3 linked regions of the Oryctolagus cuniculus genome follow. The protein of the gene in region 2 interacts with the protein of the main gene of each other region in a pairwise test. Links are inferred from orthologs where the notes say so. Each region holds a gene or a part of one and is shown on either strand. Other genes may lie near its edges. The genes, in order: PPP1R16A, TPP2 and EHHADH.

Region 1 (2,577 bases), on a different chromosome or scaffold from region 2:
CAGCAGGGGACGGGGGGAGAGGCCAGTAGCTCACACCCATGCCCCCCGGCACCGGCGGGTGTGCAAAGCTACCGCCATGGACATGAACTGGCAGTGCCCTCAGCCCTCCCTCTTGAGACCCCTTAGGGGCCCCTCTCACTCTGGCACACTGTGCCCAGCCAGCTTGGAGCCCAAGTGGCCAACTGCCTGTCCCCTGTCCCACCCCAGGCGGAAGCTGGCAGCCAGGATCAGGGCGACACGCCAGCGACGACGGACCCGCCCCCTCCCCCAGGGAAGTGTGCAATGCCAGCCTTGTGCCTGCTCTGCCCCTCTGGCTCGGGCCCAGCAGTCCTGGGAAAACCACCTCCCCTTCCAGGCTGGGGTCTCCGCCCCCTGGCACGGCCACCCTCAGCCTTGGTCCCCAAGGAGTGGCCCCCCAAAGCGCCCTGCTCCTTCCGGAAGGCAGGACTCAGGAGGGGAGCACTGAGGCTTCCTGCACAGGGCTGTGGGCCCCTCCCAGAGCGCCGGGACTGCCACGTGCGGGCCCCGGCACGCACCCACAGGCTTCCCGAGCTCGTTGGGACGGGCGTGCCCAGCTGAGCAGCACACCTGCTCCCACTGTGGGGACGGTGGCCCAGGTGAGACACACAACAAGGCTCCGTGGCCAAGCAGCCCTTTATCAGAATCCCAGCATAGTCTCTGCAGCCAGAAGCCCTGGGCATGGCTGGCCAGGTCCGTCCCGGGCGCCGGCAGCCAGGGCAGGCAGCCCTCACATGAGCAGGCAGCACGGCCTCTTCTCCACAGGGGCCTCCTCCAAGGGGGCGGTGAGCCTGAGCAGGGGCGGGTCCCCGCAGGCCCCGACGCCACAGTCGGGGTGGGGGCTCTCAGTGTCAGCAGGCGGGCTGTGCTCCGGGGGCTCCGGGGCCTCCGGGGCCTCGGGCCCGGCGGCTGGAGGACGCTGTAGCTTGGCGGCCGCTCGCTGGCGCTTCAGCTCTGCCAGGGTGTGGTGGGCCTTGTCCCGGGCCGGGGCCTCCGGCGTGCTGTTCTCCAGAGGGCTGAGCTGGTAGGAGACGCTCCGGTCCAGCCGCTTGGAGTACAGGTGGCCCCCTGGAGAGCCCCCTACTCGGCCGTTGTGTGGCCGGAGCACCTCGGGGTTGTCCTGTGGGCGGGGCCGAGCTGTCAGGAGAGGCCTTCGCTGGGGGTGGCAGGGCCCCTGCCGTCAGGCCGCAGCCCAGGCCGTCTGCCGGGCCTGCCCGGGGGACGCTCACCTCCAAGGGCGCTGGCTGGAGCTCAGCGTCCGCCCGGCGGTCCTCGTCGTCCTGCGGCGGCGCCGGCTGCTGCCACACCACGGCCTCTTGCGCGTGCTCCTTGCGGTACATGTCGGTGCGCTGCGTGAGGCTCACCCTCCTCACCACCTTCCTGCTCGCAGGAGGGCAGGGGAAGGGAGGGTTACTCGGCCTGAGCCCCTGCCGGGCCCTGCCTGCCGGCCGGCAGCCCACACACTCACCCGCGGCTGCCTGCGCTGGACGTGCGCCGGCGCAGCAGGGAGCGCTGGCGGCCCTGGGAGCGCAGGAGGGCGTCGTGCTTGTGCTTCAGCTCCAGCAGCTTGGCCCGCACCTCCTCGTCGCCGCACACGTCTGCGGAGAAGGCACGGTGTCACGGGAGCCCGCCCGTCCCCCTGCCAGGTACAGGCAGCCCCAGCTCACCCAGGGGCGTCTCATCCAGCAGGGACTTCGCATTCAGGTCGGCCCCGTGCGCCACAAGCAGCTCCACCAGGTGCACCTGTGGGCCACCAGCCGGGCTGCTGAGGGGTCTGCAGCAGGGCGTGCCCCCCGCCCCCCGCCCCCAGCCGCAGCACCCACCTGGCCCCAGTAGGCCGCGGCGTGCAGTGGCTCCCAGCCGTCGCGGTCCTGGGCGTGCAGGCTGGCTCCATGCTCCAACAGCAGAGCGGCTGCCTCGCTGAACCCGTTGGCGGCCGCGACGTGCAGCTACAGGCAAGACCCAGTGCTGAGTCCTGGCCCCTCCGGCAGGCCCCCCCACCCCACCCCCACTCAGGCGGCTGGGTCCTCACCAGCGTGGCCCCATGGTCCACAGGCCCATCGAGGCTGGCCCCAGCCCGCAGCAAGCTCCGAATGTCCTCCAGCACCCGCAGCTCCGGCACCGCCCGGGCCTCCTCAATGCCCTCCTGGGTGATGCCTGTGGGGCATCAGGCTCAGAGGGGGCGTCCCCAGGACCCCCCGTCCCCAGGCACGGGGACCACCACGTGCACCCACCACGGCTGGCCATGGCAGTCTCCAGGCAGTCCAGCGTCCGCTCGTCTTCGCACAGGTCGTAGGGCATGTTCCCATCCGCGTTGACGGCCAGGAGATCGGCGCCACTGCAGGGGGACGGAGCGGCTGCTGGTCCTGGGACCCTCGTCCACAAAACCAGGCCCCTCCCCCAGGCCCAGGGGAGGGCTGCCTCTGGAGATCTCCGGCTCCCCTCTGCCTGCACCCACCCTGGCGCGAAGCCACACAGCCCACCCTGCAGTCTCCACCTGGGCTCCAGGTCCCCAGAAGCAGGGGACGTGGCCCACCTGCTGAGGGGTGCAGGAGTCAA
Region 2 (4,180 bases):
GAGACTCTCACAGACACGGACACACACACACGCACAGGTATCACTGAGGAGACTCACAGACACACACACGTATCGCTGAGGACTCTCACGGACACACACACACACACACACGGGTATCACTGAGGAGACTCACAGACACACACACGCACAGGTATCGCTGAGGACTCTCACAGACACAGACACACACACACACACACACACAGGGGTATTGCTGAGGAGACTCTCACAGACACACACACGCACAGGTATCGCTGAGGACTCTCACAGACACAGACACACACACACACACACACACAGGGGTATTGCTGAGGAGACTCTCACAGACACGGACACACACACACGCACAGGTATCACTGAGGAGACTCACAGACACACACACGTATCGCTGAGGACTCTCACGGACACACACACACACACACACACGGGTATCACTGAGGAGACTCACAGACACACACACGCACAGGTATCGCTGAGGACTCTCACACACACACACACACGGGTATCGCTGAGGAGACTCACACAGACACACGCACAGGTATCGCTGAGGACTCTCACGGGGACACACACACACACACACACACACACACACACACACACACACACACACACACGGGTATCGCCGAGGAAACTGAAAGGGACGCGCCGCCCGGGACGGCTCCGTAACGGGGCGGGAAGCCGCCGGAACCACCCGGAACCTCACCTCGCTTCACCAACGGGTTCTCCCCAACGCCAGAAGCCGACGGTAAGCAGCGAGGTCAGGCGCGGCGCACTTCACTCTCGGGTCTCTCCCGGCCCCGAGAGCCCACAAACTCACTTCCTGCCGACGCCACGCACAGCCGCCCCCCGCCCGCCGCGTCCCAGCCCCGCAGCTCCGGATCTACGGCCTGGCCTTCCCACCTAGCGCCCGCGCCTTCCCCGCACCCCGCGGCTCCCCGGACTCGGCCAGCCTCAGCAACTCCTCTGCCTGGGGCACCCCACGCCCTCCAGGTCAGAAACCCCGCGGCTCCGGCCTCGCCCTCGCGGACGGTGTGTCCGTCCAGCACGCCCAGAGTTTTGACTCGCTCCCAAAACACCCCAAACGCGGGTTTCTGTAAAGGTTCGAGAACCGAACCCCCAGTTATGCTCTCAGACTCCGCCCCCTTCTCTGCAGCCCGGGCAACACTCGGGGCCGGCGCCTCCGAGCGGCGCCGTTGGTTGACGAAGCAGCACCTGATTGGCCGCCGCGCCCCCGCGAGCCGCGATTGGCCGAGGGCCGGCCGGCTCCTCCCCTCGCCCCCGCCTCCGGCCTGCGGCCACCCGTGTGTCCTCGCGCCGCTCGTCCGCGCGCAGCCTGGCAGTTTGCCTCTTCCTCGTCCTCCAGCCTTCGCCCATGGCCACCGCCGCGACCGAGGAGCCCTTCCCTTTCCACGGTCTCCTGCCAAAGAAAGAGACCGGGGCCGCCTCCTTCCTCTGCCGCTACCCGGAATATGACGGGCGCGGGGTGCTCATCGCGGTCCTGGACACGGGGGTCGACCCGGGGGCTCCGGGCATGCAGGTGAGTCAGCCCCGGAGGGCCCGGGCGCGGGCGGCCGGGGACGCCGGGGAGGACGCGGCCTCGGAGCCCGCTCAGGCCGGGGCCCCGCTCTGCGGCCGTGCCCAGGCCGGGGTGGGCAGCGCCGAGAGCCACCATGGCCCGCCCAGGGGACCCGGCTGCGCCCAGGTGTCGGGGGCGAGGGCCGTGGTGCCGCTGGCCAGACAAAAGCGGCGAGCCTGGCGTGGCTGGCGTGGGGAGCCCGGGTCCGCCTGGGCGCTGCCAGGCCGGACACCTCAGGGCGCCAGCCCCCCACCCCCGCGCCGTCGTCTCGGGCACCGGTCCCTGCCAGAATCTTGCAGGTTTTTTTTTTTTTTAATCCCGGATCTGGGGAATGGGGCAGAAGACCCTCCGAGAACTTGATTGCCATGGCTGTGATTTGGGGGATTGGGTTTTTTGGGGAAGAGGAGTTTGAACACGAGACCGGGTTTTCGAGACGATCGCTCGGCCCACTTCCGGAATTGTTTCTTGTGGTTGTGTGTATTCTATTTTTAAACAGTCTCCTGCAGTGTGTGTGTGTAGGGTCCTTGACTCTCCTGACTTTGCATTCGTTTTACGTAGGCATCCAGTTTAGTTTGTTTCGGGCGAACTTTTCGTACCTTTGGAAACGATTCTTGTGTGTGTGTGTGTGTTTAATCTGGAAACATAAGACAACGCGCTTTAATTACTACGGTTTTCAAAAATTACTTAGTTTTGCCTTACGCACCTCTAAGATTCGTAGATCAGGGTACCATGTACAAAGGTAATTTTAAAAATGTGTGTCTCTGTTAGAAGCATTCTGTTTTTAAAAGTTTAACTTTGATAAATTTAAGCTTTTGTTGAAATCCACTAGTAAACAACATTTTACTGGTGTTCAGAACTTACCTGCCCGAATCTTCCTCGACTAGTTCTGCTGTATTTTGATCTCTTGTGTTTACCAGTGTTTTCCTCTGTATCTTACTGCCCTTTCTACCATAAACAGTAACGTTTAATAAATCTCTTTCTCCTTACCCCTAATACACCCCTCCTCCGCATCATTTACAGTGCCTTCTGCTAATTGAGGTCGTATTATGGGGGCTTAGGAAAGTGGAAGCCAGTCTGGCCAACTTTGTATAGAAGCCCTCTAGGAATCTTGCTTCCTGGTTTTAGTTCTTCAACACCACGCTCTGGTGCGAGCACCCCACACCCAATGGCGGCCCTGCCAGGCAGCTTTGATGATGAGTTCCCTCCTGGCAACTGTAGTTTTTATAGTCATTGTTGTACTAATAACTCTTAAGACTTAAAACAGTGGCAGCTATCACCTCCTTGAGGCTTTATTACAGACTAGCAATGCCTTCCATTCTGCTGTGGCCTGTGTTTACATTTTATAGGGATAAGTGGGAGGAGAACAGCTGGGGTGTGCGGCTCACTGGTTCTGTTGTCAGGTTAATAAAAGAGTATCACAAAAATTTAGAGAAATACAGCTCAGTAGATATTTGTAGAATTTCCAGATCTGTTTATCAGGTTACTCTGTTACTCTGTCAAGTACCAGTGATTTTCATGCTGCGGTATTGTTATGAAAATTGATTGAGATTAATTACATGTGACTTTTTAAAATGCTTGAGAAAAGCATTAAATAAACAGTTTTTTTAAAAAGCAAGGATATTCAGTAGGAATTTATGCTGGCTCCTTAATCATCAACTCTCTGAAGGGTGAATGTGTTAGATATTTACGTGTAAAAACATGTAAGTATTGAAACAATAAAATGTTGAAGTCAAATGAAAGCATAACTCTTTGGATAGCTATTTTTAAAACGATTTATTTATTTATTTATTTGAAGGAGTTAGAGGGGGGAAAGAGACAGTAAAAGAGGAGAGAGAGTTTCCACCCACTGATTCATTCCCCATGTTATTCACAGCAGCCAAGGCTGGGCCTTCGGACAATTTTTTCTGAGATAGTGACCTGACTACCTCCAATTAAAAGAAATTCAGCAAGGTAGACTGAACTTATGAGCCTAAGTGACATCTTTCTTTTTTTCTTGTTTTGTTTTGTTTTTGAGAGGCAGAGAGAGCAGGCTCCCATTCACTAGTTCACTCCCCAAATGCCCAGACCAGAGCTGAGAGCTGGAAATTCAATCCAGGTCTCTGACATGACTGGCAGAAGCCCAAGTACTTAAACCATCACCACTGCCTCCCAGAGTCTGCATTGGTGGGAAGCTATAGTTGGGAGCCAAACCTGGGTACTCCAGTGTGGGCTTCAAGCTTCTTAACCACTAAGTTAAGTGCCCAATCCCTGAGTGACTTACTAAGGATTTTTGCCCTTTACAAAGTTATTTTGTAGTTTCATGTATACATCATTAACACATTATGTTCCTAGTTTTCAATTATGCAAATATTTCAACTAAATTGGCACAGGTGCAGAGTTACCATACATGGTATATTTACTGCTCAATTTTTTTTAAGTTGTCCTATTTATAGGACAGTGGGACATACTGAAATACAATAAGAAGGTAGATACAAATAAAAGGAAAGAAAGAATAAAATACAGGGAAGAGGAGGATGAACTGGCCATTTGGAAAGCCAAATGGGATCTAAGTAAAGGAATAGAGGCTTAAAGTAAAAACTTCAAGGAACACAGGGAGTTGTCTCATTC
Region 3 (4,122 bases), on a different chromosome or scaffold from region 2:
GGCTAAACCGGCAATGCAGGGTTTAAAGTGGGCGAGAAAATGTCCAGATTCTCTTAGTGAGTTTGGAAGGGATTGTATAAAACTGAAAATAGGAAGGGGAAAAGAAAGGAAGGGAAGAGGAAAATAAAAGTAGAAAGTAAGGCCGGCGCCACGGCTCACTAGGCTAATCCTCTGCCTTGCGGCGCCGGCACGCCGGGTTCTAGTCCCGGTCGGGGCGCCAGATTCTGTCCCGGTTGCCCCTCTTCCAGGCCAGCTCTCTGCTGTGGCCAGGGAGTGCAGTGGAGGATGGCCCAAGTGCTTGGGCCCTGCACCCCATGGGAGACCAGGAGAAGTACCTGGCTCCTGCCATCGGATCAGCGCGTGCGCCGGCCGCAGCGCACCGGCCGCAGCAGCCATTGGAGGGTGAACGAACGGCAAAGGAAGACCTTTCTCTCTGTCTCTCTCTCTCACTGTCCACTCTGCCTGTCAAAAAAATAAAAAATAAAAAAAAAGAAAGTAAATAAATAAAATATTTTTACCAGATCAGGGAACCTGTCAAACTCGATGACCTTGCTAGGATGTACACCACCATTACACAGCAGCTCAGGAGGGGCAGGCAGGAGAGGGAGGGAGGTGTTGCTCGGTGTAACCTCCCTGCAGCTTTATGAGGGAGTTAGCGACAATACTCCTGCAGGGGGTGGAGGAGGTGAGCAGATCCAAGAGCAGAACGCACTGCTAGTTATAGTGCTGCACTCCGGAAACCGTGTCCCTGAAGTCTTGCTGAGCAGAGGCTGCACCAGGATGCTGCCACTGAGTGTTTCAGGCAAGTCCACAGTGATGCGTCAGCACATTTCTTGTGTTTTCCCTTTTCAGAACCAATGAACAGAACTTTGCTTTTTTTCTGGGAATAGTAAGTGGACATACCATCTTGTGTGATTTTATTCCTGTTGTACTATTAAATGCTATAATTCATATTAAAATAAGAGCTATAATATTAATAGTAATGATAAAATTAAACCTGATGATAGGATTAAAGATTTAGTTAAAACTAGCAGGTCTCCTCCTTTTAGTTTATTTTTGCTCCAGCAGCATGTGATTAGAGTTTTGACCAAAGATTTTTCTGTCTATGTTTTAAGTATTCTATGTAAATAATAATTTTACTAATCCTACCCTCCGTGGATGGGTGGCTCTTTCCAAGGCTTATGTATAACCACACTTTTTACAGAGACATATAAGCATGAAACCAAGTGAGCTTCATTAAGTTTCAAAAAGGCAGCACTGATCTCACTTTTATTTATTTATTGTTCTAAAGATTTGTTTATTTGAAAGGCAGATTTTAGAGAGAGAGAAAGACAGAGAGATCTTCCATTTGCTGGTTCCCTCCTCCAAATGGCTGCAATAGCCAAGGCTGGACTGCTGAAGCCAGGAGCCAGGAACAGCTGGGACTCGAACTGGCACCTTTATGGGATGCCAGCATTGCCAGCGGCAGCCTTACCAGCTATGGCACAATGCTGGCCCCAATCTCACTTTTAAAAAATAAAGCTTTAGGGACTGGGTGTTTAGCCTAGAGATTAAGATGTCCATGTCCCTGGAGTTCCTGGGTTTGATTCTCAGCTCCTGATTCCAGCTTCCTGCTAATGCACACCCTGGGAGGCAGCAGGTGATGGCACAGGCAACGGAGCTGCTGTCACCCATGCAGGAGACCTGGATTGGGACCTGAAGCTTCTGGCTTCCTATGGTGGCGCTATTGCAGGAATTTGGGAAGTGAACTAGACAATGAGAGCGTGCACTCTCTCTCTCAAGTGAATAAATAAAATTTAAAAGTAATGCTAAGTGCATTACAAAGAAGGTATCCCACAATGAAATAAAAGAAGATAAACCGCACAATTTTTAAGAAAATGCAGCCGGCACCGCGGCTCAATAGGCCAATCCTCTGCTTAGCGGCGCCTGCACACTGGGTTCTAGTCCCGGTTGGGGCGCCAGATTCTGTCCCGGTTGCCCCTCTTCCAGGCCAGCTCTCTGCTGTGGCCAGGGAGTGCAGTGGAGGATGGTCCAAGTGCTTGGGCCCTGCACCCCATGGGAGACCAGGAGAAGCACCTGGCTCCTGGCTTCGGATCAGCGCGGTGCGCCGGCCAGAGCGGCCATTGGAGGGTGAACCAACGGCAAAGGAAGACCTTTCTGTCTCTCTCTCTCACTGTCCACTCTGCCTGTCAAAAAAAAAAAAAAAAAAAAAAAAGAGAGAGAGAAAGAGAGAGAGAGAGAGAAAATGCTATTTCGTAGGCTTACTCTGACAAGGAACTTCCCAGTAAAAATCCTGAATCCCTGGACTAACAGAATTCTCCTTTACGCGTTGCATTGACATTTATGGGGATTTTACTTTATTTTTCAAAAATATTAAACCATTTTCTTGTCTGATTCTTAAAGCTTTTAGGCACACGCTGGAAGGGCAGCCTGGATTCTGTGTTAGGGAGGTGAGGCTGGATCAAGGTCCACCTTTGTATTAAGTCCGAGACCTTTGGAAGAGAAAGTCCACCGTAGAAGCCAAAGCTACAAATAAGCAGGAGGGTTCGGCAGGCAGTCGGCACGCACAGACCCAGCACTCACTTGGCAGCCTTGCGTCTGCGTCTCTAAGCCTCCAATGCCTGCCAGTACCCCGGAGGAGAGTTCGCAGAGACGAGCCAAGCTAACCTGGGCAAAGACCCTGGCACACAGCAGCCGCGCGGCCTCGGTCAGGGTCTCTCTGAGTTTCAAGTCAGCAGGGGAAGAGTGAAAGCCCAGGCGGCAGGAACACTGTCCGTTACCTGATGGCGTTGACAGGAGGGTTTCGGAGGCGGATCAGCGCCAGGGAGTTGGGCAGCCGTAAATACTCAGCCATGTTTCCTCTGTCACCTAAGCCACCACCGCTGCCTCTCGCTGCAGGGAGACGCCACTTTTCCGGGCGCCGAGGCCCGCCCCGCGAGGAGGAGCGCCCGCTGGGCCAATGCGCGCCGGGCGCCACCCCGCCGCCGCCCCTGGCTCCACCGCCCGCGTCGCAAACTCCGGTCTCCTTCGGTCTCGGCTGCCGTGGGGCTCCCGCCACCAAGCGCGTCCACGAGGGCGACCGGCAGCCGTAAACCGCGGAGTCGTCCGCAAGGCAGGGTCTGCAACCCCCGGCCCCTAGGGGCTGGCTGCCTGGGACGAGTTCTGGTTTCAGGGAATGGGGCCAGCTGTCCTCGTCACACTACTCAGGAACACGCGTGTGGTGCCCCGCCGAGTACGGGGCGTGCTGCACACCCAGAACACACATACTACACACATCAGGCGTTCCGCCTAAACCAGGTGGTGCTAACATCCACCAAGGAGCGACACTTGTCTTACAATCACGGAGCCCCGTGAGGTCCACCAGTTCGTCTGCCCATCCTCTCTCCTTTCTTCTGATGCATCTTCCATCCGCCCATCAGCTGAGCCCCTGGGACGTGCGGGACCTCTGCAGGTGGCTCAACCTGAACAAGGCCCAGCCCCTGCCCTCCCATCTCAGGCCGGTACAAGGTTTCCTAAACGGGCTCGGTCTCTCGGTCTCCTCCATTCAAGTGCCCAGAGTGTAATTTGGAATCGGCGGGCGCTCTGCTCACTTTCTCGCTCTTCCAGCCCCGCTCCGGCGCCCGCGCCACCCTCATTTCCTCAGTTGCAGCCCAGCGTAGGAGCCGGGACCAGCGGCGTCTGGGCCGGCAGGACCGAGGCGCCGGCACACGCGGGAGGGCGGACGGGCCCGGGCCGGGAGTCCGCGAGCGGCGGCTTCGGGAGCGCCGCAACCCAAGCGGGTCCTGTCGCCGCCGCCTCGTTCGCTCCCTTCCCTCGGCCAAAGGCGCGCCTCTCGCGCACGCGCACGCGCCCGGCGCCTCCGGGGAGCGCGGTCGCCAGATCCCGTCCGCTGCGCGCGTGCTTCCTAACCCCTCACTCCTTCCCCCTAACCTGGGGGGCTGCAGCCCGCTGGCTGAGGGGGAAGTCGGCCGAGCAGGGTGCTGTGGGCGGCCGCGTGTGTACTAGTGTGTGGGTGTGTGAAGTGCGTTATCTGGGACGTGACTGTCGGGGGCACAGAGGTGCGTGTGACGAGGCTGTGTATGACTGAAATGGAGTGTGGGTGCTGTGTATGTGTGTACTTGA

What was found.
Region 1: the proteins of TPP2 (region 2) and PPP1R16A interact in binary tests that used the Homo sapiens proteins (3 or more experiments, as listed by UniProt). The two-hybrid records come from large-scale screens. The link is inferred for Oryctolagus cuniculus from reciprocal best matches to the Homo sapiens genes TPP2 and PPP1R16A.
Region 3: the proteins of TPP2 (region 2) and EHHADH interact in binary tests that used the Homo sapiens proteins (3 or more experiments, as listed by UniProt). The two-hybrid records come from large-scale screens. The link is inferred for Oryctolagus cuniculus from reciprocal best matches to the Homo sapiens genes TPP2 and EHHADH.

What each region holds. Positions count from the first base shown.
Region 1 is NC_091437.1:168,197,993-168,200,569, reverse strand, and holds the end of PPP1R16A (protein phosphatase 1 regulatory subunit 16A), read right to left. Parts: intron 2,357-2,577; coding exon 2,253-2,356; intron 2,176-2,252; coding exon 2,051-2,175; intron 1,968-2,050; coding exon 1,842-1,967; intron 1,762-1,841; coding exon 1,686-1,761; intron 1,617-1,685; coding exon 1,487-1,616; intron 1,399-1,486; coding exon 1,248-1,398; intron 1,139-1,247; coding exon 749-1,138; 3' UTR 637-748; downstream 1-636. UniProt on the Homo sapiens protein: Inhibits protein phosphatase 1 activity toward phosphorylase, myosin light chain and myosin substrates.
Region 2 is NC_091440.1:10,086,811-10,090,990, reverse strand, and holds the start of TPP2 (tripeptidyl-peptidase 2), read left to right. Parts: upstream 1-1,263; 5' UTR 1,264-1,369; coding exon 1,370-1,534; intron 1,535-4,180. UniProt on the Homo sapiens protein: Cytosolic tripeptidyl-peptidase that releases N-terminal tripeptides from polypeptides and is a component of the proteolytic cascade acting downstream of the 26S proteasome in the ubiquitin-proteasome pathway.
Region 3 is NC_091435.1:94,913,492-94,917,613, forward strand, and holds the start of EHHADH (peroxisomal bifunctional enzyme), read right to left. Parts: upstream 2,947-4,122; 5' UTR 2,855-2,946; coding exon 2,781-2,854; intron 1-2,780. UniProt on the Homo sapiens protein: Peroxisomal trifunctional enzyme possessing 2-enoyl-CoA hydratase, 3-hydroxyacyl-CoA dehydrogenase, and delta 3, delta 2-enoyl-CoA isomerase activities. Catalyzes two of the four reactions of the long chain fatty acids peroxisomal beta-oxidation pathway.